Linked DNA regions of Saccharomyces cerevisiae S288C. The protein of the gene in region 1 binds, or shares a complex with, the protein of each later gene. Each region holds a gene or a part of one and is shown in the gene's direction. Other genes may lie near its edges. The genes, in order: EMC10, EMC4, EMC6 and EMC2.

Region 1 (4,392 bases):
TTCAAATATTACTTCCATTTCATGTGGACTTACGATTTCGTTTAATAATTCTTTCACTTCTGCTATCTCCTTAGAAATCCTCAAGAATAGCTCATTATCAGTGTTAATTAAGTATTCATCTGACCGAATTTCTGCGGTATTTATATCTGCTTTGTTTGAGTGGGTTATTTGACCAAGTTCAGTTGACTCGCCATGATCCCCAATTTTGTATGATAGGAAGTTTCCATTATCTTCATTAAATGTAAACGTCTTGTTGAAAAATATCTCTGCTCTCTGTGAATTAAGTATGTTCAACGATAAAGTGGTTTGAAACCGATCTTTCATATCAACCACTTCCGCCAACCAAACACATGAGTCACCAGGCTGGAGAATATGTCCATTAGGTAACGATACTAATCTCAAACTAAGCATTTTGTTTATGGCATTTCCAAATTTCTGGTAATATGTTTCCGTAATCTCATCCCAATTTGACATGGCATTGTCAGTAACCATTAATTTGTCTCTTTCGTCGGTGTTAAAGGGCCTTAGAAAGTATATTCCAGAACCTAAAAAAATCGGTTCATATTTGGTGATTAAATCAATAGAGTTACTACCAATTTTTGATTTTGCGGGCATCCTGCAAAGTATAGGTGAGGCGTTCTTTTGGTCTTCATTTTTGGCTAGTAATTCTAAATTGCACAATTCAGGTATGGTAACTTGGGCTTCATAAACACAAATTTTTGTTTCTCTCACCCATTGAATAGTCGATGGTCCAGAGTTTGAGCCGCCACAGACATATTGTATTTCAACCATTCTTTCAGCCCCCGTCACATCGCAAATATCACCTGACCCTATAATTTCGCTGATGTAATATCCTACATCGTCATAAAGTAGTTCAAATTCTCTCTCTTCTACATTTGCTTTTGGTTTTCCCAGGCGGTAGACCAAAGATTCATCTCGATTTACTATTTCACCAGTTTTTGTATTTACTCTACCATGGAACTGAACAAATTCTATGCCAGGACAGTACTCGTAAATCCAAAATCCGGCTTGGTAGAAGATGCACCGTTCATTTAATTTATCGAAAATTGTCTTAACACCTTGATTCAGGGTTTTAGTTAATAATGCTGTCTTTTCACTATTGCTATGCTCATTTGAGTCTTCCAATACATCATTCAATTGAGTGCTTGCATTTTGAATAAAGCATTCAAGGTCGTCGCCCATATTCACTATATATCCCGAGTTCATGACAGACTGATTTTGTAATATCCTATCACTCCAGTCGTCCTCATCGATGTAAGATATGAGGTACTTATTCGATACTATGGGGTCTTCTATAGGTGCTAATAGTGATGATCCTAACGGAATCAACGCAGAAATTGCGCTCAGAGCATATATAATTTTAGCTTGCATTGAAACAGGGAAGAAAGGGGATGATAACGATATATGTGAAGATCTATTGCTTATTTTAGGGAATCTGCTTCTTTTTTATGAAGCTACATTTTTACTTGAAATTTCCGCTGTATTTTTTTGCATACGTGCGCTGGGTCTCTAACCACTGTATTTGCATTGGTAACTTAAAAACCCAACCAAATATAGGAATAATTAGAAGTATATAAAAGACACTTTGAGTAAAAAAACAAGGTGGTACTATTCAACACTATCTAACAAGAACTGTACAATACTCATTGAAGGAAAGATGCTTGTGCGGCTGTTGCGTGTGATTTTATTGGCCAGCATGGTTTTCTGTGCTGATATTTTACAATTAAGCTATTCAGATGATGCGAAAGACGCTATACCCCTAGGAACATTTGAGATTGATAGTACATCCGATGGGAATGTTACAGTAACAACCGTTAATATACAGGATGTTGAAGTTTCTGGAGAATACTGTTTGAATGCCCAGATTGAAGGTAAGCTGGATATGCCATGTTTTAGCTACATGAAGCTGAGGACACCACTAAAATACGATTTAATTGTGGATGTAGATGAAGATAATGAGGTCAAACAAGTGTCGTTATCATATGACGAGACTAACGATGCTATTACTGCTACAGTCAGATATCCAGAAGCGGGACCTACTGCACCAGTCACCAAATTAAAGAAGAAAACCAAAACTTATGCTGATAAAAAAGCTAGTAAGAATAAGGATGGAAGCACTGCACAATTCGAAGAAGATGAAGAGGTTAAGGAGGTGTCTTGGTTTCAAAAGAACTGGAAAATGTTACTTTTAGGCCTATTGATTTACAATTTTGTTGCGGGCTCAGCAAAGAAGCAACAACAAGGAGGTGCCGGAGCTGATCAAAAGACTGAGTAAATAAAGTATTGTGATTTTTTAAATTTTTAAGTGTCGTTACTTTTATCTCTTTCCCGAAAATATTTGAATACATAAAATTTTTAAATAAATGTTTTTATTTGTTCACATGTCGTGAATGACAGGTACTAGTTATCAAAAATGAAGAATATTTCTTCATTCCATTACATTATAGACATGATGATTGCCGTCAAAAGACCGACCAAAGGGGTTGTTTGGCCAATTGGTGCCATGATAGCGGCATTGCCTTTGGAACTCTTAGAGCTAGAGCTGGAAGCGCCAGAACTAGAAACACTAGAGGCAGAAGCAGCAGCCTTGATATCGCCAGAAGTGAACTTCTTTTCCTCGGCCTTAGAAGATGACTTGGAAACCTTGGCAGTAGTTTGGCTTGATTGAGATTTGGAAGTGGACGATAGTTTAACAGATGTGGATGATGCACCATTTTTGCAGACAAAAGATTCACCCTTGATACCCCCTTTCTTTTGCAAAGCTTTCAAAGCATTACAGGAGAAATTGCTTGACTTTGATTCGACATCTGCGCCACCCTTGACAGACTTCAAAGAGTCTAGGTTCAAGGAGGTGAAGTTACCAACAACTTCCAAAGTACCGCCAATGGTTGTTAGGTTGTCGAGACCACCAATTTTTTGTAAACCAGTGTTGTTAGCAACGACAAGAGCACCACCTATGGTTGACAAATTAGAGAACGACAAGTTCTTCAAGTAGTCATTGGAAACGATACTGAAGGTTTGGCCAATGGTGTTTAGCTTAGTGAAATTCAAACTTGAGATGGAGTTGTTGATGAAACCCAATGAAGAGTTAATCTTTTGCAAGTTAGCGAAGGAAACAGAGTGGACATCGGTCAAACTGATATTGTTTGCCCAAACCAAGTCATCGAAGGTGATTTTAGTCTGGTTACCGTTGAACGAAAATTGTAAAGAATCGCTGACTGTTTCAACTGGAGATTTGATCGAGGTTAATTTCTTATTGTTATTGACGTTGAACACGTTAACTTTTTTCAAGGCTGAGAATCCATCGACAGATTGTAACGAAGTGTCGGAAATATAAATGTTGTTAGCAGATTTGATATTTGAAGTAAAACTGGAGATGGCGGGTAGAGTAATCAGTTTTATACTATCAACGCTCTGTAAAGACCCAAATGAAGCAGAAGTCAAGATTGTCAAACTCTGTAGGTTCAAAGAATCTGTGATGGACTCCAAGGAATCAGCAGCGAATGAGGTTAGATTTGTAGCGTTAAATATAGTTAGAGACCCGTTGATTTCTTTAACATTAGCCAAAGCACCAGTCTTCAAACCACCACCAATAGTTAAGTTCCCGACTAACGTATCACAGCGGCTATATTTATCTAAGTCACTCTGAGCTGTGGCCGTGGCATGTGAGCTTATGGTACAGGAAGAGGGTATGCTGGAAGAAGAGGAAGTAGCAGCCAAAGCTGACGTTATTAAGAGCGCAGTTGAAGCGATAAGTGAATGTAATTGCATGATATTTTTATAGCGAGCTTTTTTTTTTTGCTTCTCTCTTGGATTAGATCTATTGCAGCGTGATGTACTGTAAGATTCTATTGAACTATACAGAGCAAGAGTTGAATAGAGAAGAATATGCACGCTATTTATATGTTTATCTGTAGAGCATATATGGGTTTGCTCGTAAGGAACCTTGAGCGGTTGAATGATATTACTTAGAGTTAATGCTATGAAAACCCAGCCCAATCATTCAACATTACTCTTTGTAGTAATAAACTCTGATCAAAGTCCGAATCAGGGCAGTGTGCCTACGCTATTTTTAGAGACTCGTAACACTATTAAAACTAAAAGCCCTCTCTACTAATTAAGATATCCCAGCTTTGTGGTCTTTTTTGGGTTTCTTTGGTTTTTTTCCCTCAAGGATACCGAAAATGCGGGCCTTAATTTAAAGCCTTTTCCGTAAAGAGAAAACAAAAATGAGTTGGCGGGTCAACGGGGAGTGCTATTTTAAACGACTCAAATACATTTGAAAAAGAAAAAAATAGCCGCCCAGCTCCCACGTGCATATCACGTGCATTATAACCCGGTTTTCAGATAATAGAAATCCGCTCACTCTAT
Region 2 (5,575 bases), on another chromosome or scaffold:
GAGTTGTGATTAACTTTATCAGCTTTCCCATTTCGTTACGCTGCGTTCTTGTTTAGATGTAACAGCTTTTGTGCATCCAAGATATAAAGTACTTCAGAAATGGTGGTTGAAACAGAATGCCCATTACGCTTACTTTAAGGCTGTTCTTCAAGTTGATCCTTTCTTTGATACATGATTATCATCATGTACGTAGAAATCCGCCTTATTTCCGAAACCTGACTATCTTAGGGTTATACATAGAAACGTATAGGACATTTCTTACTTTTGAAAATTGTTCCTTGGGCAGTTCAGGGTTTAGTTAGGGTATTGATGCCAGCCCTAAATCCCCTAAATAAGAACTCTCGAGGATAATAACAGACAATAAACCAAGAGTTCATCCACGTATGATGGCTGTTTTTTATTCTGTCGGTTTTTGGTTGCCGTAGTAAATATAATTTGGTAAGCGTGTTGTGCTGTGTTGTGTTGTGTTGTGTTGTGTTGTGTTCTACTAATTGGATTGTGCGAATAAGTGAAACGGTTGCTTCACCCAGCGGGAAAAGGACAACCTGGTATTTGGTGTGAGATAAAGTTATAGACAATCTGGTCTTTTGTTATTAAGTTCTCTTTTCTTCTATACCGTCCAGTTTACTGCTCTCTTGCTTTTCGATAAAGCTAAAATAAAATAAAAATATGTCACTATGGCCCTTTGGAGAGACGCTGAGTCATTCCGGAATTGATTCGATACTTGAAGAGTACTATCTAATTTTTCGTAGTTTGGAGGGAAATGAGACCTCTTCAACTGACGACAAGAAGAATGAGCCTTCTATGGAGTCAGAGTCCGAATTTGGTACCGAGTCTCGGGATAGGAGTGACCTTAACCAGTCATTTATTGATAGGATCTTGTTGGAAACAGCTTTGCTGGATGAACTGAATGGAGCAGCCAACGACAGACTCGTCGACTTCATTTGCTTGGGATATTTCTATGACGACCGTTCCCAGCAGGTCCGCCACATGGACTACCTAGTGGACATGTTGATGGCTTACCTGAAGGACATAGACCGCACTGGTTATAGAACCCCATTTCTTTTAGAGAATTCATTCCATCAAACAGGTGAATATGAAGATCAGGACGATGAAGACCCAATGCTGTATGTCAACATTATTTCCAGTATTTTTTGTTCGAAAAGTGCGCCCATAGTGGAGGCACTCGTGCAAAATACCCCATTTTTGTCCTCTCTGTTCGAGGTTTTCCAGTTTGAAAATATTGAGGCAGAAAATTGTCCTATCTTGGCTGTTTTCCTTAAGATTAACGAAACTCTTCTGTTTGAACAGACATCTAGCTATTTGGAATTTTTCAAATCGCAACCGAACATTGTGGACAAGTTCTTATATCATATTGAAGTCTCACCCTTGGTTGAATTTCTCATTAAAATCATGCTGACTGATCAAGTTGAATCACCTACGAACATTATTGACTTCTTGTATCACCAGGATCTGATACCTAAGTGTTTGAATCTCTTGGAAAATAGCAAATACTCACCTGGTATTCAAAACAGTAGCGGAGAGCTTCTAAAAGCACTGATCAGCATTTCCACCAATTTTAAACTGGATACTTTGTGGATCGGACCTAACCGATTGACAAGACAGCTTGCCTCTCCGCAATATGTCGACCAACTTATTAATATAATCTTATTTCAAAGAGGCCATGCAATGGGAGTTGCCGTATCTATTATAATTGAGTTGATCAGGAAGAATAATTCCGACTATGACGAAGTAGATTTGTTAAGTACCACCATAGTAGACAATCCGCCTTCTCAAAGAGATCCAGTCTATTTGGGCCATTTGTTATATGAGCTCACTATGCATATGGAAGATTTTTATGCATTACTAATTAAACTTGAAAATGATGATGACGATGATCATGACACTGCTTCAAAAGCTCTTCCATCTGTTAAGCATCACCTACTAGAAAACCAATTGCATGAATCATTCAGGCCTTTGGGCTTTGAAAGAGTCAAGATTACAGAATTGATATCGGAAATGTTACACTGTTCAAATATGGGATTGATGAATTCAAAAAGAGGCGAAAAAATAGCACGTACCAGAGATAAATGCAGGGACACTCTTGATCAAAACTCACTAGAGAAAGCCATGAAAAATTTAAATATAAATGATAATACTATTACTTCCAATACATTAGAAGATAAATGTAATAATAATGATAGTAATGACAGTAATGACAACCAAAAACAAAAAAAAAATATTAAAAAAAAGTTTCATGATAATGAATTGTATTCTACTTTTGATACATCTGATGACAATATTGATGATGATGATGATATGAGTTTTGAAATTCCTTACGTCAGTGAAACGCAAAATTTGAAAATACGTAAAAACCCTACCATTGGAGATTTATTCAAAATTAAACTTCATGACCTTGGGTTTTTTCCAAAGTTTCTACAATTATTCTTAAGATATCCTTGGAATAACTTTTGGCACAACATTGTATTTGATATTATTCAGCAGATATTCAATGGTCGAATGGATTTTTCTTATAACTCATTTTTGGTCTATTCTTTGTTTGATTTCAAAAAGTCTACAAGATTTATCCCAAAACCTTTGTACGGCAGCAACCAAAAGTTACCTGTTAAAGACTTCCATATTATCTCTGATTTCATTTTACAAGGCCACAAGGATTCGTTTGAATTTTACGAAAAAGAGAAAACAAATTTAGGTTATATGGGTCAATTAGTATTAATTGCCGAAGAAATTGCGAAGTATTCCAAAATTTATAAGACCGATCTAATTGCTCCAGATATATATGCCTTCTTACAAGATGAAGTTTGGATGTCATATTCTAGTGACATCTTGAACGAAACAAGGACAATGTGTTCAATAATTCTTGGTGGAGGCCAGTTCTGTGCCGAAAGCGATGAAAATACTAACCAGGACTTTTTGGAAAAAGCTGATATGAGTAAACCAGCTCATCCATCCACAATGGATGAGAATGAAATTGTTCACGAGGAGGATGTTAAGTTGCATGATAAAGTTGCCGAGCTCATAGATGAATTGGGTCAATTAACCGAATTAGATATTCATGATAAAATTAAAGATGTTATTGTTGATCATCATTCCGACTTAAATTGATTAGGTTAAGTCGTCAAACCAATTTTGACTTTTTTTTTCCTACATTTTTAATATTTTGTTTCTCGTTTTGCCTTATTTAATTTTGTGACATGTAAAAATTACGAAGCCTATTGGGGGCCAATTGAAGTAAACTAAATATAACAATAGTCCTTTGTAGTTCAGGAATGTTCACCAACTATTCACCAAAAATTATTGTCTAGCTTACTTTCAATAACTTATAGCTATCTATACAAAAATAATCATATAACTAAAGTCAGGCCCAAACCAGGCAAAACAAAACCATAATAATGGGAATTATTACACTATCCGGCAATGTTCTACATTTATTGAAAGCCTACCCAAAAAAGGGCCTTGAAGAGGTTTCTCAACCAGAGCCTAATACAGCAAATGATTCCTCGACTGAATATAAAGGAAAAAGCAAGGATGATTTTCAAATGGTCGAAAAATCCAATACAGATGAGAGATACAATTTTACAAGAACGAAAAAATGGTTTTTATTGATGACCTCAGAATATTACAAACTAATGGAAAACAGACTTTTAATGTTTTGCATTATCGCTTGCTCTTTTATTTGTGCTATCCAATTTCTTTTCTTTATAATTTATTGGACCAACATTGTTCCACGGAAGACGCAAAGGGCAATAACTAACCTAAATTACGATTATTTAACAGCCCATCTAAAAGAGCAATGCGTTCCATATGCGAAAATTCTTGACCAATGTATTCTCTAGCAATCTCTGCTTTTGTACATTCGTAGTTTTTTCATGTTCCTTTCATAAATAATAAAAAAAGCGTATTCTTTTCTATATAAATAGAATGAAAAAAAGTTGAACATAATATCAGTTAAGGTTAAAATAAAGCCAAACGATATAAGCAACAGAAATGAGTGAACAGGAGCCTTACGAATGGGCTAAACACCTATTGGACACCAAGTATATCGAAAAATACAACATTCAGAACTCAAACACATTACCTTCACCACCAGGATTTGAAGGTAATTCCTCTAAAGGAAATGTTACAAGAAAACAACAAGATGCTACATCTCAAACTACTTCTTTGGCACAAAAAAACCAAATAACAGTATTACAAGTACAGAAGGCATGGCAAATTGCGTTACAACCAGCCAAATCTATTCCGATGAATATTTTTATGTCGTATATGTCCGGTACATCCTTACAAATCATTCCTATAATGACTGCCCTCATGCTACTCTCTGGACCCATTAAAGCAATATTTTCAACAAGGAGTGCATTCAAACCAGTGTTGGGTAATAAAGCAACACAAAGTCAAGTGCAAACTGCTATGTTCATGTATATCGTATTCCAAGGCGTCTTAATGTACATTGGATACAGGAAACTAAATTCAATGGGTCTCATTCCTAACGCTAAGGGTGATTGGCTACCCTGGGAACGAATTGCTCATTATAATAATGGATTACAATGGTTTTCCGATTGAGAGCGTATATACTTATATAAAATATCTATTCTGTTTCATATATGATTATTGTTTTACACTCTTATCTTCATCCTTTCGGAATTTCGATTCATAAAGCTGTTGAACGTTGTATTTACGATATTTGGTTTTATAATCCCCATCGACTACACACATTCCGATATTGCTCTTAAAACATTCCACTAGAATCAATTTATCATAGTTCTTCAAGTCCACAGTATGATTAAACTCAGAACCCTCTTTATTGACCAGCTTCACAACTTGATTAATGATGTCCATTCTTTCAATCGTATTGAAATTTCTTCTTGTCACTTCTACAGCAAATTTATAATTTTTTTTAACATTCGAAGGGTCATGAAAGTGTGGCCCAATAACCAAATTGGCCAACTTGATTAATTGCTCCATTTTTGCATTACAAGAGTACGTAATAGGTGTTAATTTCTGAACATATCTAGTACGTTTAACCATATTTTTGGGATCCGCTAAGTCTTTCATGATACTTAGCACAAATTCTTCGGGAACAATTGGCTTTCTTGTTTTACAAAATGTCACGCACTCACAGTTCAAGTCGATGAAGGCTAAGGGGTCTTTCTTCTTTGTCTCCCCTGAAGATAAATCTTTGCCTGTTTCTTCACCTTTCAATTCTTGTAATTCCTTTTTTATCTGGTCTTCAATTGATAGATCTTTCTTTTCGTCATTTTCACTTTCATCTTCTCCTTCTTTGATATCCCCATAGAGTTCTTGAAATTTTTCTTCGAATAAAAGCTGCAACTCTTGGGCTGCTTGACGTTCATGTCTTCTAGAACATGTGGCATATATTCCAGACGTACCAGGGTCTAAGAATCCGGAAGATACTTTAAACTATTACTTTTGATCGTTAGTACTTAAAGAACTCTAATTCGTGTGCAGACAGACATACTTTCTTCCTGTTTTGGGAATTTGCATCCTTACCATTACGGTTACGTTTTTCACCCATAATTAAGATACTTATTTACAC
Region 3 (5,440 bases), on another chromosome or scaffold:
GTGGACAGTAATCTACAGTACATTTTCTCCTTTTTTTTCAAATCAATACTAACCTATTTGGTTACTGTTATATTAGTCGGGTACAATATGCCATGGTTTTTAGTGTTCAATATGTTTTTGGTGGTTATCTATATTTACTATCAAACATTTTACATTGTGCTATCTAGGGAGCTAAAAAGATTGATCAGTATATCTTACTCTCCGATTATGTCCTTAATGAGTGAGAGCTTGAACGGTTATTCTATTATTGATGCATACGATCATTTTGAGAGATTCATCTATCTAAATTATGAAAAAATCCAATACAACGTTGATTTTGTCTTCAACTTTAGATCAACGAATAGATGGTTATCCGTGAGATTGCAAACTATTGGTGCTACAATTGTTTTGGCTACTGCAATCTTAGCACTAGCAACAATGAATACTAAAAGGCAACTAAGTTCGGGTATGGTTGGTCTACTAATGAGCTATTCATTAGAGGTTACAGGTTCATTGACTTGGATTGTAAGGACAACTGTGACGATTGAAACCAACATTGTATCAGTGGAGAGAATTGTTGAGTACTGCGAATTACCACCTGAAGCACAGTCCATTAACCCTGAAAAGAGGCCAGATGAAAATTGGCCATCAAAGGGTGGTATTGAATTCAAAAACTATTCCACAAAATACAGAGAAAATTTGGATCCAGTGCTGAATAATATTAACGTGAAGATTGAGCCATGTGAAAAGGTTGGGATTGTTGGCAGAACAGGTGCAGGGAAGTCTACACTGAGCCTGGCATTATTTAGAATACTAGAACCTACCGAAGGTAAAATTATTATTGACGGCATTGATATATCCGACATAGGTCTGTTCGATTTAAGAAGCCATTTGGCAATTATTCCTCAGGATGCACAAGCTTTTGAAGGTACAGTAAAGACCAATTTGGACCCTTTCAATCGTTATTCAGAAGATGAACTTAAAAGGGCTGTTGAGCAGGCACATTTAAAGCCTCATCTGGAAAAAATGCTGCACAGTAAACCAAGAGGTGATGATTCTAATGAAGAGGATGGCAATGTTAATGATATTCTGGATGTCAAGATTAATGAGAACGGTAGTAACTTGTCAGTGGGGCAAAGACAACTACTATGTTTGGCAAGAGCGCTGCTAAACCGTTCCAAAATATTGGTCCTTGATGAAGCAACGGCTTCTGTGGATATGGAAACCGATAAAATTATCCAAGACACTATAAGAAGAGAATTTAAGGACCGTACCATCTTAACAATTGCACATCGTATCGACACTGTATTGGACAGTGATAAGATAATTGTTCTTGACCAGGGTAGTGTGAGGGAATTCGATTCACCCTCGAAATTGTTATCCGATAAAACGTCTATTTTTTACAGTCTTTGTGAGAAAGGTGGGTATTTGAAATAATGACATTGATTATTATATATGAAGATATAGAACATTTAATGCGCTGCAATATGTACGGTCACGCCAATTCTTTTTCTTTCTATATGCTTTCTAGTAACCCGGGTAATCACAAATGAAGCTAGTAGAGATATAACTAAATACAACTTAATTTTAACCTTATGTTGGATTGCTCAAGCAGTGTTCGAGAAAGACAGCGGCAGACAGATAGAAATGAGCTCAAATGAAGAGGTATTTACTCAGATAAACGCAACTGCGAATGTGGTTGATAATAAGAAGCGTTTACTTTTCGTGCAAGATAGCTCAGCACTTGTTCTAGGGCTTGTTGCAGGATTTTTGCAAATCGAGTCAGTCCATGGGTTTATTTGGTTCCTGATTCTGTACAACTTGATTAATGTCATTTACATTGTTTGGATCTGTCAACTTCAACCAGGAAAGTTCTACCAAAGCCCACTTCATGACATTTTTTTCGAATCGTTTTTTAGAGAGATAACTGGTTTTGTCATGGCATGGACATTTGGATACGCCCTAATCGGATGAACATATAAGAACTACTTCTATAAACGGTTAGAAACAGGCTTGATTTATTATGTACAGTAAATATAATGTTATTTGTGTTTTTTTTTTTTAAATTTTTTTAGTTCCTTCTATGTAAAAAGACATGACAACAGTATTCTCAGTCAAATGATTTCAAATACACAATGTTAAATTCTCTATCTGTTGCAGAAATAAGAAGAGCGTAAGAGCGCAAAGATTTTTGCAGAAAAATAGAGATGAGGTACAAAAAGTAGGTAATGGAAAAAAGCAAATAATGAATATAGGGGAACATAAATGTTATGGACAAGAGTAGATATCAAAATAAAACAAAATAAAATAGAGTAAGTGAAAGACAAATGGAGGAAAAAAAAAAAAAAAAAAAAAAAAAAAAAATAGTAAAAAGTGAAAGGAGAACGATGATAACACTAATCACACCTCCGCATTTTCAACCAATGCTGCAAGTTTCTCAACACTGGCTAAATGTCTATTTCCTAGGGAGTTAGATTTGTTTAGTTTATCCAAATATGCTCTAATGGCAATGACGATCAATTTCTTACCCTCACCCTCAGAGACATTAACTAATTTTTGAATCACATAGTTGGCAAATTGATCCTTGATCATTAAAATCATTGGAGAATCGTCTTCCAGATTCAAAGCATGATTTTTGTCTCTTGGTAAAATCTTAGAAATTATTAAATCCTTCTGATTTTTAGAGCCATAAAGAATAGATTTTTCGACCACGTTGGAGGCAAATTTATGTTTAGAGTATTCGACAACATTATTGGCCACAGTTTCTATGATTTCCTGTTTGATATCGACCATTTCCTTATTGGTGAACTGATCTTGTTGCAAAACATATTGAATGACATAGTTACCATATTGGTCTTGAATTAGATATGGTATGAAATCTTTCAATTCGTTTAAAATGCTTTCCTGATCTTCGCTCGAACCAAATTCTAACAATCTTTGAATGACCCTACAGCCGTAGGAGTGGGTAGATAGATGGTAAATGTGGCCAGTTAAAGAACTTAAGATAAAAGGTAATTTTTCGATAGGAATTGTTTCGATGGCCTTTTGAATTACGTGATTACCGTTCTGATCTTTGATCATTTGCAAAACGGAGTCAGATAATTCCAGGACTAACTCAATTCTTTGATTGGAATCAATATATTCTAACGCCTTTTGAATTACACGACATGCGTACATTTGTAGAGATAACTGTTTCATGTTACCTTTAAATTGATCAACCAAAGTATTTTTTTGAATTTTGCTACCAAATTCAAAAAACTTCTGAATGACGTAATTACCAAATACATCGTTCGAAAGCTCAATGGCGTCATCGCGAATTTCATTGAATATGACCTCCTTTTCTGAGGCTGGTGAGGTGGCCAACTCGCGCTGAATGAACCGTGAACCATGTTGATCTTTGCAAAACTCTAAGGAATGGCCAAAGATGTCTTTTAGTGACATGTTCGAGTTTGAATTTTTGTCAGAACTACTGTTTCTTAGTTGCTCTAACAACGGCGATCGATGATACGTTTGCTGCTGTTGCTGTAGACTTTGAGAATGAGGATGAGAATGAGAGTGAGATTTATGGTTGTTGGCCGTTGACTCATTAGATTTGGAAGAAGCATTCTTTTTAGAGGTATTCTTTGTGGGTATAGAATTTTCTAGATAAGGATTTGCCTGTTTGTTGGCGTTGTTGGAGTTATTTGCAGGATGATTCTTGTTATTTCTTTTCTTGAAGGTTTTTTCGTCCTTGGGCATTTTGACAGGTATAGGATTTGGAGTAGGGTAGTAAATATAAGGATTCTCCTGTTGCTGTTGCTGTTGTTGGTCTTCTTGTTGTTGTTGTTGTTGCTGTTGCTGTTGTTGCTGGGGAGCAGAGAGTGGTGGAGGTGGCATAAACATCATTGGGTTGGGGTAGGCAAACGGGAACGGAGAATTGTTTGGAGGGGACGAAGGTGAAGAAACAGAAGAAGGTCTGTTTGCCTTCTTCTTTTTCTTACCATTTGAGTCTTCGGTGTCTTCATTTGCTGGAATCTGTACTGAAATCATCTGGGAGATGAAATTTGAAGGAGATCCGATCAAGTAGTTGGGGAAGTTTTGGTAATGAGGGCCCTGATGAAACTGATTGGGTGGGAAGCCGTTCATGTAGGGGGGGAAATTGTTATTTGCAGGCCCATCTTGTTGGTTAGGAAGCGCGACATTTGTGGCCCCAACAGCGGCTGGATTGTTACTAGGTCTAAATACTGGTGTGTTGGCTACGTTCCAGATATTTCTCTTGGGGTAATGAGCATTTTCGGACTCTAAAGACGCAGATGAGCCTGAATTTGAACTGGAGTGGTAAAGCGAACCACTGTTAGTAGTGTTCCTATTCAATTTGTTGAAGTTTTTGTCAGACTCGACATTTTGCTCGAAAGTATTCTGTGTGTCTAAGCTGGCGTTAGAGACGCTTTTTGATATGAATTGGGACTGAGTATTGACAGCGTCGGGTCTATCTTGAGATTCCAGTTCCCTTGTACCGTCAATCAAAGATTTTCCGAACTTCTCAAAAAACCCTTCCCCACCAGAGTTGTTGTTGTCATTGCCATTGTAGTAAACGGGACCAGCAATGGAAGCTGAATACTGGCCCAGAAGATGGTTGACCTTGTTGTTTTTCCCGAGATTAGCCGCAGTATGATGAGTATGATAGTTATTGTACGATGCGGATGACAGGGAGGCAGTGTCGGTTGATCTGTACTGGTAATAATTGCCGCCGTTACCAAAAAACTTTTTCGAGTTCGTGGAGAATGGCGGAGCAGTACCAACTGATAGGGCGGTTTTCTTGAAGATCGGTGAAGATTCACTGGAACCGTGAAGCAGCAAGATCTCTGAATCTACTTCATTTGCCGTGGTGAAACTCGACCTTCTGAAGCCGCCAATTTGCTGTGATCCAGCAGCACCGCCGTTCACAATGCCGGCCGCGGCGGCCTGACCGCCGTTGTTGTTACTATGGGACAGGGCGCTTAAAGAAGAAACTATGGATGCGAGTTCCATATCCATATCCATATCCATGTTCATTTCCATTTATACCCGCAATATTGCGTTATTCAGAAGAAATTTAAATGCGTAGTTCTTGTTTGTTTTCTTGTTTGCTTGCGTACTTCTATGCTTATAGATATATCAGTAGCAAGGAAGTTTCCTTTTCACCGCCTTTCAATGTTCCTATCTTTTTCTTATGTTTCTCTTTAGAGACCAGATGACCAGAAAAAAATTAGCTAAGCAGTGTTATACTATTTACAGTAGATATTCAAATATGTGCAGGCACCACTTATTTTTCTTTTTCCTTCTTTTCTTTGTTTTTTTTTTTCTCCTATTCATCAAGCTTCATACATCCAATATACATTCTCAAGTGTGCTAATGGTACATTTGGGAAATTATCTTCCTCTCTCCACAATTTTTAGAAGGAAAAAAGAAATGCAGTTCAGGGTAACAGAGTGCGCAATTA
Region 4 (5,919 bases), on another chromosome or scaffold:
TTCCTCATCAAAGATTTTTCTAGGCGATATTCTCTTAAACTTTCTTTTCTTTTTTATAGGTGACGATGATTGGGTTAGCTGGACATTTGGACGTTTGATTTCTTTTGCAGTTGGTGTCGAAATAACTTCTTTCTTATCTGCTAAAACATCACGATTTATATTGCCCTCTTCTAATGTAGTGCTTCCATTTTCCATGTTGATTTGTTCTTTTTCTTCCACACTATTACGTTTTACATTTTCGCCTTGTGCTCCATCAAGCACACTTATATTATGTTGAATAACAGATATATCTGTCTTCTCATTATAATCGTCAAGTTGAGGACCAGTACTAGATGGAGGTGACTCAAATAAAGGACACTGCCTTTGAGAAGCGGTTTTCGTGTTGATCACTTCTCTTTTCCCATTTTCGCCTAAAGTTGGAGAGACTTCGCAATTTTTCGTGATACTGTCATTGTCATTTTTTATTCTCTCAAATCGATTACGTGTCTGAAAGAAATAACAGTTCCCATTTTGAGAAACCTTATAATGTCGGCTCATCGGATCGTCATTTATTGACCAACCTTGTAACAACTGTTTGCAATAAATACAATAACAGGTATCGTTCATAAGTGTTTTATCCATGCTTGGATCGCCTAAGCCTTCTATGCTGGAGTCGTATCGCATGAGTCCTGCATTCACCATCTTTTCTATACCCAGCGGATGTTCATTTTGAGAACCACTGTGAGGCCAGTTATCTTGAAAAGTAAATTTTCTTAGGTTTATCACGTTTTCATCATCTGGATTGCTGAAGTACTTGTCATTTTTCCAGTCCGAAACCCCCATATGGAAGCTATAGTCCGTCAATAGCTTATTGCGCAAGTAAATAAGGAGGCAAACTTGTTTGTTATCAGTAACAGTCAGATGTTGCCTCATTATATTGCTTAGAGTCTCAAGAACATCTTTTCTTTTGGATCTGCAGTCTCTCACATTGTATGTTTGACGATGACAATAGCAACATCTTACAGAGTCTTTTTTCAGTTTAGATGTCTTAGGATCGATCACTGGATCAAAGTAAAATCCAAGCTTGGCCATTGCCTGATACGGAATAACTTTAAAACTCCACTTTAACTTTTTTTTTTCAAGTGCAACACCATCTTGGAAAGTCCTTAACCTATTCTCCAGTTTGGTCATGCTATATCGCTTCTCCATTTTATCTATTTGACCATCCATAATCCCATGAGGTATAAACAACCGATGTGTCCTCGAATGTTGCACGCCCAGAGAACTTTAGCTAGGCTTTCAACACTAATATGAAACCTCAATCAATCTGAAAGAACTATAGGACACACTATAACTAAAAGTGCTTGATGACCTTGACCGATGTGTGAAATGGGTATGTATTGCAATATTATACTAAACTGTTAATCTTCGTATCGCGTGATGTGTTAGAAGCGTTGACTAGTGAAGTTAAGTAAAGAGATTTGGATCGTTAATGAAATAAATAACTATGTATGAATGAAAGGCATTGGATCGCATTGGAACGGAGAAAATTATAGAAAGCAGTAGATAAAACAATGTTGAAGGATTTGGTTAGAGAAAAGCTTTTGACAATTATGAATACCAAAGCGTATACTCAATTTAATCCAGAACAATTACTGCAACTAGAAAATGAAATGAAAATTTACATGAAAAGCGGAGACTCTGCACTAACAGAAGGAAACTATTTCTTCTTGATGGAAATGCTTTTCTATGTTTTGGTGTACCGAAACCAAGACGTTGATGCGCAAGTTGTTTATAATACATTAAGAGATCGTCTTGGTGAAAATTCGTATAAAATGGTAATCATGAAAGCCACTTTATTGCAGATAAACGGAAATGATAAAGGCGCTATTGAATATCTGGAAAATTTGTTGAATGATGATCTGGAGTATGAAACGGACTTCGTTACTTATGTCTCTATTGCAAAGAAATTGATAGCTATCAAGACAACTTCCAAGAACTTGAGCCAAGAAAGTGTTCTTAAAGAAGTGGTAGCTCTTACAGATAAATTCCCGCTTGATGCAGAATTGTGGTGGTATGCCAGCGAGATTTATTTCGAAATGGGCCAATTTGAAAAAGCCTGTTATTGTTTGGAACAGGTCCTATGTATTACACCATTCAATTACGCTTGTTTTGGTAGGCTAAGTGAGACTCTGTATTATGAGGCTCTACGTAGCAAGAAACAAACCAAGACCGAGCTCTTGGAAAAGGCATTAAAGAATGCTTTGAGGAGCGTTGAACTTAGCGAACTATACCTAAAAGGGTGGGCATTGGTTAACATCATTTCTCGCGAACTGGGACGTAATAAACAAAATGACTTGATCAAACTATCTGCATCGAAGCTAAAGGAAATTTCTGCGAAGTCTAACAATAAAGATAAGATTACCGCTGAATTAATTTTGAATAAGATATGAACGGAGCCAAAATTAGAAGAAAAAAAAAGATAGGGTGAGAGAGGATATGAAAAAGCATGTATATTTTTTTTTTTTTTGGATTCTATTACTATCATTACATAAGCGTACAACAAACACTATTTGAGTTTGACATTTGGCTATTTTTTTGAGCATTTTTCAAACCCTCTATAAAATGATTTGATCCTGCTACGGGGTAGCCCCATAGTTCTGGTAATGTATAATCTTTTGTATTCGAGGTATAGTTTATTATTGTAAGACATGCATTTGAAGCAGTAATTCTTTCACGGCTGAGTTCTTTCCTCAGTTTATTGTTAAGTTCGTTGATTCTTTTTAACTTCAATTGTTTTATCTTTAAGGAAAGCTGTTGCTGTTGCTGTTGCTGTTCCTGAGGTTGTTGTAAGCGTGGAGAGTTTTGAACTGATGTCATTCTTAGAATTATTGAGAACGTTTGCGATTGCTACTATCCTAAAATTGACAGGTGCTGTCACAAAACATTTCTGTTCTCCTTGTTAAATATTGCATCAAACATTTAGAGCCTGAAACAAAAATCAACATGAAAACCGGGTAACAGGGAGACATTCACTCATCACATTGACAAATCATATTATATAGTGAAAAGCGTACGTAAATTTTGACTATAAAGCAAGATTTCAAGAGTTGCAGATGATATTAAGACTGTCATCAAGCCGGAAGAGAAGCTAGTACGAATATTTCTTGTCGTTTTTAATTTCTCTCTTTATACTCGTTCCAAAATTGTACGATGGCTGCAGTAAAACTGGTAATCTAGGATCACTACTGAGCATATTAGCATTAACGAATATTTCACTACCGAAATGCATATACTCTATTAGTTTTTTTTTTGTAAAGGAAAGTTATCAACATTCATTTTGACCCAATAAGTATTCAGAGGTTAATATTTTAGACGTGTCGCGCCCTACGGGGTTGATGAAAAGGTGGTATTTAACGAGAAGGGGGAGCAGATCACATGAAGTTATTAGGTAACAGCGGGAGACAAGACAGAAACGAAGTTTGAGAGAAAGGAACATCAGATCACACTATGGAACATCCAGCATATACATTGAGTCTTTTGACTACAGCCGGTGGCCTTATGGGATACTACCGTAAGGGCTCCATTCCATCTCTAGTATCTGGCTTAGTATTCGGTAGTGTATATGGGATTGCCGGTTACTTGCTACATATGAATAGAGATGGTGGGCTCGAAATGGCATTGGGTGCATCGACCTTACTACTTGGTGCTGGTGTCATAAGAGGCATGCCTTCCAGGTTCACTAAACCTGTCCCTGTCGTTTTGACAGCTTTGGGTGGGCTCGGCAGTTACTACTATTATAACAAATACAAGGAATTTTACCCTTAGAGAAGGAAGAAGACGCACGATATATATACGACCCTATATATATATATAATATGATATTCTTTTATGAACAAACTTTCTTTTTTTTTTCTTCGTTCAATTATTGACTATTTTTCTATCATTTGCTATGGGGAAAGGGCTCCTTCTTACTGAAAACGATGCAGCGGTTGGAGTGAGAAAGATAAGCACGCAAAAGCCCACTTGCTATAGCACTTGCTAGACGGCATTCTAGGGCATCCAACTGCTCCTCTTCGTCCTCATTGGCAGAACTATCGTGTTGTTTTGTTGCCAGAAGAATTTTCAAGGGCATGATACTTTTCCGATCATTCCCCCATTGCCAACATCGTTGTACCAACCGAGTGAAGACCACCTCTCGAAGTAATGTGATGACGACATGCAATCCTTGCGAAAGGAAAAATCTTTCATGGCTTGCTGCGGTAGCCTCGTACAGTGACAGGTTCCCTGAGATTACGCTACGCACTAATGTCGGATAAACTTGACTTAAGCGCTTACTCCTAGTAATTACTCCGGCGATTACTGGATGATCCCAGTGAGGGTACAACCTTTTAGTTAAAAGAGCAAGCGGAACCAGCAGTATCATTATCTTTTCCATTTGGCCCTGTAAGACGAACTTGCCGGTAGATTCCACATATAGCATTGGACATTGCAATAATGCTTCATTTAAATGGAAGAACCCGCGTTCGTGATCGTTTTCCAGACATCCGTAGTATTGACCTAGATAATAATTATACAACACCACTTGAGACTTATGTTCCATTGCCAGGCTTTTATTCAACGGTGGTATATCCCGGGCGTTCACTCTGCTCTCGAGGACTTTCACTAAATTTTTAATCATATCTTTATTACTTAACCGATGGTAGATGGAAAACTCTAGATTAGCAAACATATAACACCCGATTTTTTTATTTTCATTCAATCTTGGGTTCCTATCATTGAGGCATATAGTAAAGCTTCTATGGATAGTGCGTCCACATTCCTCAATTGAGTCTTTATTAAGTTCACTAGATTCGTTTGCCAGACGAATTAATTGTTTAGCCATTACCCACAGCGGATAAATTATCCAATTGGTTTCTCTTTCTACTATTCTGTTGAAAAGTTTCAACTGTTCATTGGCTAATCGCAGCAATTCCTCAGTAGCATTCTTGATCCGCCCTTGCTTCTTCAATGACCTCCGCTTGGAATACTTCAATTTTAGATCTACTCCTAATTGGTAAAACCTTTGTAATCGTACACTCTCTTCATCTGTCGCCGTAGGCCTTTGTAGTATATATTTAGTCTTTTTAGGTGTTTTAACGTCATATCTGATGAAGTCTAACAGTTTGTCGTCATAGCGTTTCTCTTCAAAATAACATCCTATATCAACATCCATGATTGGTTGTAGAAACCGTTGCTGGACCTTTCTGTTCCTGTGTAACTCTCTCCAGACATTCCTTTACATACAATTTTCTTTTTTTTTCCTGACCTTTATCGTTAGCTTTTTCAAAATCAAAAACAATACGATTGAGGAATACTACTAACTAGCCAAAAGCAATACAAAATACATCCATACATACGCCCTAAAGTAATGTCAGAAGACCAGCGTGTAATTAGTCAACCAATTGAATTACATAAGCTGTCGATTGTCGATAAACACTCCCAAGGACAGCAGCAACAGCCGCATCAAAAACAACATGAAGTGCAGCCTGAATCAAAATCACCAAGGGTTACGACACCTTTAAAGCCCAAAAGACTTGCTATACCTATATCAAGTCCGCAAAGATCTACGACAAATCAGTCACCCGTGAGCGACCACGCAAGTCCGATTTCAACAGACCAAGATTTAATATATAAATTAGCTGCAAAACACAGAGAAATCAATGAACTTAGTTTCAAATTAGAGGTCGCCCAAAAAGAATTAAAACAATTAGAGTTACAGTTCAAAGATACACTGCCCCGAAATGGACAACAGAAATTAGGTAACCAGAACCCAAGTGAATACCTCTCTACTTTTACCAAAAGAATTCAACAGACATTTGTGGACGTAAATAATTCACCAAATATGCTCAAGGGAAAAAAGAGTATAAACGATTTTTTTAGTAAGCCCAATAATAATGT

Evidence for each region.
Region 2: EMC10 (region 1) and EMC4 share a complex: the UniProt entries of both Saccharomyces cerevisiae proteins name them as parts of the ER membrane protein complex.
Region 3: EMC10 (region 1) and EMC6 share a complex: the UniProt entries of both Saccharomyces cerevisiae proteins name them as parts of the ER membrane protein complex.
Region 4: EMC10 (region 1) and EMC2 share a complex: the UniProt entries of both Saccharomyces cerevisiae proteins name them as parts of the ER membrane protein complex.

Annotation. Positions count from the first base shown.
Region 1 is NC_001136.10:562,927-567,318, reverse strand, and holds EMC10 (Emc10p), read left to right. Parts: upstream 1-1,678; coding exon 1,679-2,296; downstream 2,297-4,392. Other genes in the region: YOS9 (Yos9p), read right to left, coding at 1-1,392; PST1 (Pst1p), read right to left, coding at 2,458-3,792. UniProt on the Saccharomyces cerevisiae protein: Part of the endoplasmic reticulum membrane protein complex (EMC) that enables the energy-independent insertion into endoplasmic reticulum membranes of newly synthesized membrane proteins.
Region 2 is NC_001139.9:62,054-67,628, reverse strand, and holds EMC4 (chaperone EMC4), read left to right. Parts: upstream 1-4,008; coding exon 4,009-4,581; downstream 4,582-5,575. Other genes in the region: SHE10 (She10p), read right to left, coding at 1-31; SAP4 (Sap4p), read left to right, coding at 670-3,126; YGL230C (uncharacterized protein), read left to right, coding at 3,414-3,857; TAN1 (putative tRNA acetyltransferase), read right to left, coding at 4,627-5,439, 5,498-5,554. UniProt on the Saccharomyces cerevisiae protein: Part of the endoplasmic reticulum membrane protein complex (EMC) that enables the energy-independent insertion into endoplasmic reticulum membranes of newly synthesized membrane proteins.
Region 3 is NC_001144.5:119,696-125,135, forward strand, and holds EMC6 (Emc6p), read left to right. Parts: upstream 1-1,626; coding exon 1,627-1,953; downstream 1,954-5,440. Other genes in the region: ATP-binding cassette bilirubin transporter BPT1, read left to right, coding at 1-1,416; mRNA-binding protein PUF3, read right to left, coding at 2,380-5,019. UniProt on the Saccharomyces cerevisiae protein: Part of the endoplasmic reticulum membrane protein complex (EMC) that enables the energy-independent insertion into endoplasmic reticulum membranes of newly synthesized membrane proteins.
Region 4 is NC_001142.9:583,008-588,926, reverse strand, and holds EMC2 (Emc2p), read left to right. Parts: upstream 1-1,553; coding exon 1,554-2,432; downstream 2,433-5,919. Other genes in the region: BIR1 (survivin), read right to left, coding at 1-1,209; STE18 (Ste18p), read right to left, coding at 2,527-2,859; TMH11 (Tmh11p), read left to right, coding at 3,490-3,807; YJR084W (uncharacterized protein), read right to left, coding at 3,923-5,194; ACF4 (Acf4p), read left to right, coding at 5,390-5,919. UniProt on the Saccharomyces cerevisiae protein: Part of the endoplasmic reticulum membrane protein complex (EMC) that enables the energy-independent insertion into endoplasmic reticulum membranes of newly synthesized membrane proteins.